Xenopus tropicalis: one gene and its partner. The protein of the gene in region 2 interacts with the protein of the main gene of each other region in a pairwise test. Links are inferred from orthologs where the notes say so. Each region holds a gene or a part of one and is shown on either strand. Other genes may lie near its edges. The genes, in order: ppp2r5a and dzip1.

Evidence for each region.
Region 1: the proteins of dzip1 (region 2) and ppp2r5a interact in binary tests that used the Homo sapiens proteins (3 or more experiments, as listed by UniProt). The link is inferred for Xenopus tropicalis from reciprocal best matches to the Homo sapiens genes DZIP1 and PPP2R5A.

The regions. Positions count from the first base shown.
Region 1 is NC_030681.2:14,617,810-14,621,071, forward strand, and holds part of ppp2r5a (serine/threonine-protein phosphatase 2A 56 kDa regulatory subunit alpha isoform), read right to left. Parts: intron 3,102-3,262; coding exon 3,051-3,101; intron 2,766-3,050; coding exon 2,646-2,765; intron 1,905-2,645; coding exon 1,777-1,904; intron 1-1,776. UniProt on the Homo sapiens protein: The B regulatory subunit might modulate substrate selectivity and catalytic activity, and might also direct the localization of the catalytic enzyme to a particular subcellular compartment.
Region 2 is NC_030678.2:122,328,476-122,332,305, reverse strand, and holds part of dzip1 (zinc finger protein DZIP1), read right to left. Parts: intron 2,265-3,830; coding exon 2,097-2,264; intron 1,920-2,096; coding exon 1,871-1,919; intron 1,082-1,870; coding exon 1,013-1,081; intron 408-1,012; coding exon 357-407; intron 1-356. UniProt on the Homo sapiens protein: Molecular adapter that recruits protein complexes required for cilium assembly and function to the cilium basal body.

The DNA of each region.
Region 1 (3,262 bases), on a different chromosome or scaffold from region 2:
TGTGTAGCCATTACAGAAATGATCTAGTATAAATAAATTTAAAGCAACTGGACTTGTTTGGTAATCACTGAAGATGTTTACATTGCTACCAAACAAGTCCAGTTGCTTTAAATTTATTTATACTAGATATAGCATGACCTGGATGAATGAAAATCTTCATAGACACATTACAGAAATTGTGGCTTTGTATTTTGGGACTGTTTAGATCCCGCTGACTGAATAAAACAATAGGCCAAAAACATTAAGTTCAGCACAACATTTATTGCACTCCTTAGGGCTGTGACAGATGGGGAGATTAGTTGCCAAAGTTGCCTTGAGAGGAAACTTCTGTGACTTCAGCAAATCGCGGTGCCGCGTATGCCATCCCACCGGCGATTTACATTCTAGCCAGTGGGAAGGCATTTCGGGGAGATTAGTCGCCCCCACAACAAGGGAGATTTGTTGCGCGGCAACTAATCTCCCCGTCTGTCACAGCCCTTAAACTGTATTTTCTACTGTAAACACGGATATAATGTCTCTCATTAAGCTGTTGTTCTCTAAAGGGATGGACAGGACTATCAGAATAAATTCCCTCTATGGAAGCCTATTCTTAAAGCCACTTTAGACCATGACAGACTATCGTGAGCAAAAACCCTATTTGGGGCTGATTATATGATATGGGTGGGTTGCCCTTTAAAATTTTGCAGCATGGCGCTGAGAAGAAAAGTAACCAGCCTGCTACATTTTTGGTGGGAGCAGAGCACTGGCCTGGTGTCTGAAGGAAGCGACTAGATTCAGTGGGAGATGCCAAAAAACCTTGCACACACTTCCCCAGTAGGTTTGCCACCTTACCCGGCTCCTTACTCCGGGCAGCCGGTGAAACACAGGGGGTGGGGAGGGGATGGTGATGTCAGAGGGGCGATGATCGGCATTTCGCCAATCATCGATTCCTGCCCGGTTTTTCCTAATTTGGAAAACTGGAGAGGCAGCTTTGACCCGGACAGCTCAGTTATAGGAAGGATTGTCCAGGTGAAAACTGCCTGCTCGGTATTCAAAACCAGTCAAGTGGCAACCCTGTTCTTACATTTTTCTTCACACACCCTCTAAATGTACAAAAGACTTTTGGCTAAAATGAGGAGAAGCTCAGCTTCTCAGCAGCTGCCCAGAGCACACTGAGCATGTGCAATGTGACTGACACTCCTAATAAAATCCTAGACAGGAAGCTCATGTGACAACTGTGAAAGCCTGGATCATTACTACTACAGAAAGGCTGAATCTTTAGGCTGGTTAAATTATTTCAGTATATAAAATATGGTATTTTTATCCATATTTATTTTTAGGGGTTAGTTCTCCTTTAACTGCAGTTACATTTACAAATACCTTAAAAAACAATGAGGATTGTTAATGTATATTGAAAAGTTGCATAATGAAATGTAATGCTAACAGTAGTTTTTGGGTGGAAATGCCCTTTAAAGGGGAATGTAACCCAAATAAAATTAACTGGTTTTAACGGGTCCTTTGAGCACCTTTGTGACTTATGTTCATTATTTATTTCAAGTGGTTTTTGAGATATTAGCAATTTTATACTGCTAGACAGACTTTCAGCTCAACAGTTTTTCGAGAGTATCAGCAACCATAAGTGTCTATTGCACTGGTATTGGTCTAAAAATGGAAATATCTCAAATCAAATGAATGTAAAATGCAAAATTACTCACAGAAACATCCAGGAGTAAGTTAAATGTATTATTGGGTTTAGATGGAATAAATATATGAAATCAGAAAATAACGTTTACGTACGGGTTCCAGTGTTCTTTGGAGATTTTGTATAAACTACCAAACATGATTGGTAGAATTTTGTCAATGTTTTCTTCAATCAGGCTGAGAATGTATTCATTGTTCCAGAAGTACAAGGCTCGTTCTGCAACCTGAAAAACATCCCCAGTGCAGCGTAAGGAAGTGTTTCTTGCCAAGGGAGAGATTACTGCTACACAATATATGCACAGATTGTCTCTATCACTCAGTGTATATAGAAATATTAGCATTTTGCTGGAAAAGTCAAACATATATCCTTCTGGGCAGGGAGACACAAAATACAGATTCAGGAAGCCGAGCTGCAAATGAAGTGTTACATCCTATAAGCTCTGGCACAGCTGCTCCAGCTTTATTGCATCACAGCTTCAGCCCATGATCTAAAGGATTATTTAGCCCTTTCAAGCTAATGATCAAACACCAACACACTTAATAATATACATAATTAATAATAATAATATATACACTTAATTAATAATAATAATAATAATAATAATATATATAATATAGCAGAGGCTACACCTCCAGCAATTAAGAGCCATTATTGGGCTGGGTTTGTACCTCTATTTTATTTCCTACAGAGGTAAAGCCCTGAACCCTTAGGGGTATATTTATAATGCTGTGTAAAAAGTGGAGTAAAACATTACCCGGTGATGTTGCTTATAGCAGCCAATCAGATGCTTTACTTTGGTTTTCTAACCGTTGAATTGCTGATTGGCTGCCCTGGGCCACATCACCGGTAATGCTTCACTCAACTCCAAATATACCATTAAGAGTTCATCTGTATGACTAATATTTCAAGTACAGGCCTTTAACCAATTGTTTTCTTTATTGGAAATTGTATCTCTTTTACCCACCTGAAAATGAGAACTGGACACGCATTTCGATATTTGCTTAAAGAGAGGCTCCTGAATCTTTTTAAACTGTGTTGGCTCAATTACGTCCAAAATTTCTTCTATTTCACCTAAATACATCACCTATTGGAAAAAAAAAAAAAAAGAGTAGAAGGGAAGCAATGAAGTACATTATATGAATTCAGATTAACTACAATCCCAAATAAACTGTAAAAAAAAAAAAGAAGAATATGGCTAGAAATGCTGTATATTGAGAGGGATATGCATAGCTCCACGTTTGATCAGCTAGCTCGAGTAATGTGCTATGGGCACTTTATTGGTACTTTCTTTGGCCAAATAACGGACCTGGTAAATCCCTTGTATTAATAGTAACACTAAAGTTGCAGTAATAGTTTTATATATAGCTACCTCTTTCTGACTGCAAGTTTTTGGCCAGAACTTCAGTAATCCTCGTATAACCTGTAAGATAAGGCAGAAGGGAGAACATTAAAGCAACAAGCTCACAATTTAATCAAACTTGACAGTATATCCGTACAAAAAAACAATTTAGGAACAGGATATTTTTGTAACTATAACCCAAAATTACCAGACAATACCAGGCCATAGAGTGAACCAGGATG
Region 2 (3,830 bases):
GATACACGACAATATATATAATACAACTGAAGCACAGCACTGTAAGTGGTCCAACATGCAACATCAACAACAGTATTACCATTTTAATAGCTGTTTTGTGCAGATTTTTGCCAGTTTGGGTTGGGATTCATAAGACATGCGTAAAGTGTTTGTTAAAGCCATTCAGCTAAAAAGAACTGGAATCATGCATATTGAGATCACACCTCTCCTTTAATGTTTGCATAGAAACAGCTGCAGGACTGTAAATTGCTGAATATCCTGATTAAAGGAAAGGTATGGACATCTCAAACAAACATTACACAAAAAAGTAAAATTCACAGGTCATGTAAATACATGCTTAGACTACACACTGTTACCTTTCTCCTCCTCTGTAAGCTCTTCAATAGGTTCCAATATATAGGCTCTGTCTAATAGTCAGCAAAATAAAGTATATAAACACAAATGTGTGCAGACTAATTATTATGTGTAACAAACAATTCTGAGTGGTGCACACAATAAGAGAAAAAGCTTTAATATCAAATACCTGTCAGTGCAGTGCTTATTGCAGTGTTCCTTTTGAAACATAGGACTGAATAAAGGTACCACACACAATTGGGCAGTTGGTTTATTTGGAGCCTTAGTGGAGCAGCATACAAATGTTTTAAGGGATGCACTTATTTGCACACCCAAGCAGGGCCTTTTCATGCCCCCTATAAGGCAGAAAAAAAGTTCAGGGCACTGTTGTGGCCTCTACATCCTGCTGTTAAATAATTGCATGTCTAAATGACATGCAAGTTAGAGGGCAGTAGGTGGGGCATGTGCAAGTGTTCCCAACTCCCCAATACAGCTCTGACTAACGCAGTCAAGACGGACTGTATTCGTCAGAGAAGCGGCAGCTCTCTGGGCTCTGTTTTGGCGATTCCTAAAAAGCAGAATGCAGTGCGCAAAATGCAAAAAAAGCTGACTGCACACTGTGTACTGTATCGTAAATGATTCCTAAAGAACGTTAAAAAAAACCCCAAAAAACACTTACCACTTAGTAACGATGCATTAGGTTTTATCTCAGAGTGATGTGACAGTGGTGTTGGAGCTTGTACAATTTCTAAATGAGCAAAATAATTTTAGTTAACAATATCCACAATTTTGCTATACATTTTAAACACACAGATGTAATAAATTAACATCATTTGTGCAGTTAAAACTGTGTAATTATAACTGAATACAAAATGTTATGGGGTTCTCATATCAATATATTGTTTTTACCTTACAAAATACATACTGATTAATTAGTAAAAATGGTATGCTGGTTCACCAATGACTAAGCTATAGGTGCCTTTATATGTCTCTATTAGTCCAGCCCTTCTTAGCTAACATTGAGGTAACATCAATATTTATAAAAGCAAAGTTATGCCAGACATTAACCCCTAACCTAACCTAAGGCTAATATCCCATGGAGGAATTAGTCGCCTGCGACAGATCTCATGCAGGCAACTTTGCACAACTTCAGAAAACTGAAGTGATACGTAAGGCCATTGGCGTGTCCCGTTGTTGCCAGTGGAAAGGCATTTCAGAGAGATTGGTGGACCGCTGTGGTAAAGATCTATCGCAGGCGACTATTCTTGGCGTGGAACATTAGCCTAACCTCACCTAATTTTGTCCCTTGATCAATGCTCTTATTTTACTGATTTAAAAAACAAACAAACACAACTACATACTGAAATTATTTATAAAATGGAAGTATGAGAGCATACTGCTGAAGTGGCCTGGAGAAGTTCCTAAGTATTAACTCCCTGCATCAAGGCACTGTAAAATGCCAAATAACAGCTGGAATTTTGTGCACACTGGCCATTACAACTAACTTGGACAGTAATTATATTTTTTAGTTACTTACCTGAATATGTAGCAACAGGAGGTGTCAGCTTTATAGACTGCTCCTTTACCTAAGATAAAAAAAAAACCCTGTAACAAGATACAGCAGAAAAAAATACCAAACAGTACAGAAGACTGTACTGTTTGTACAAATCTTCAAATATTTATAACATTTTCAGTATGCTTGAACATCTTGGTGCAGTTATAACTTCCAGTAGTAGAGAAGTGTAAAGGCAAACCCCACTTACTTTTCCTAAAGAGGCATTCTTCACAGCTAATTCTGTAACCTCTTTCTGAAGCTTATCCTTTACTTTAGCTATTTCTTCAGCATGTTTTTCTTTTTCTTCCTCTTTCCAGCTATTAAACTTTTTTAGCATCTCTTGTTCAAATGATTTCCGATGTCCTGTTTCGTGAAACTAAAAAAATTACATTTGTTAAAACACAACACAGAAAAGAAAGAGCTTAAACCCAAATCTTCATAACATATGTATGTAAATATGTATTGTTCATATAATTTCAAAGGTTAATATAATCAAAAATATAATTGAACTTTGCTGTAAATATGTTCATCATATGGCTGCTGAAAATCCCAATGATAAAGCATTAGTCACATTATACCACTTTTTTCACTGTTAGGTTAGTGCCACACAGGGCTGATCAGCCCCTACGCTGGCACCAGCCTCTTACATTACCTGCACCCGGAAGCATTGTATCTGCTTTGGTGCAGGCAGATGTGGTGGATATCGGCTGTGAAATGCGAACTCTTTTTTTTTCTGCTGATATACGCCACATCTGCCCGCACCAGGTCAAAGACAATGCTTCCGGGTGCCTTCAATTTTCTGCAGGTCGAGAATCAGCCCTATGTGGCACTAGCTTAACAGTAAAAAAAATGATCAGAAGCCAAACAGGAAGAAAAAAATGCTGAGCTCTGTAAAGAAAGTTCCCATAATGCCTCACTCCTGCACAGACACCCAGACCAAATGAACATGCTCAGTTAGTTAGACTATGAGTCAGCTTGCTGCTGATTGCCTCAGAACCACATTTCTAAGGGGGGAGAGTGAGTTTTTAGCATTCCTGAGGGAGGGGGAGCAGGAGAGAGCATAAAGCAGAGAGCTGCATGTCTCTGGCAGAGGAAAACAGACACAACTTATCTTTTGACAGAAAAATCAGTGCAGTGTTTCTGTGAGTGCTTATGGCTGTATTTACATAGACCTTTCTGATAAAGCTTACTTAGTTTTTACCTTTCCTTCTCCTTTAAACACAGCTTTTATATGTACAAAAATATTTAAAACAGTTTGAGGCGGCAATGTATATAGACAGGATACACCTGATGTATTCCAGACCCACCAGGTCCTTATTTATAGACCTATTAATACAACTACGTTACAACCTGGTACTAGTATTAACTAAACTAAGTAAGCTTTAACAGAAAGGTCTATGTAAATACAGCCATAAGCACTCACAGAAACGCTGCGTTGAGTCCTCTATCAAAAGAAACACATGATTTCTTGTCTCTTTTTTTGTAAACATGATGTTTGGGTGTCTGACTTTCTTTCTCAGAAAAATCCTTAATTCCCGTAGCCAGAGTCTGCACAGATCTCTCCTCTCTCCCTTCTCCTGCTTCCCTTTCCCATAAGAATGCTAAGAACTGTCTTTCTCCTCCCTTAGGAATGTGTGATCTGAGCTATAATGGCTAGACTGCAAACAGAAAGCTATTTAAAATGGCAGCTGCTGTCTTAAGCAAACGGAGAAAGCTTATAGGGCTCTTTACTCAGGTATGGCAATACTTTCTGCAGAATAAATATTATTGTTCTAGGTGGCACTAATGTGGCAAATCTATTGGCAGTAAAATGCCAAAATGACTTTCCTTCCCCTTTAAAGGAGAAGGAAAGGCTAAGTCACCCAAGTGACTTAGAACGCCTACCTTGTACCCCGGGCTGGTGCCCCCGTACGGAGAGAACAGCACCAGCCCGGGGCAGCTG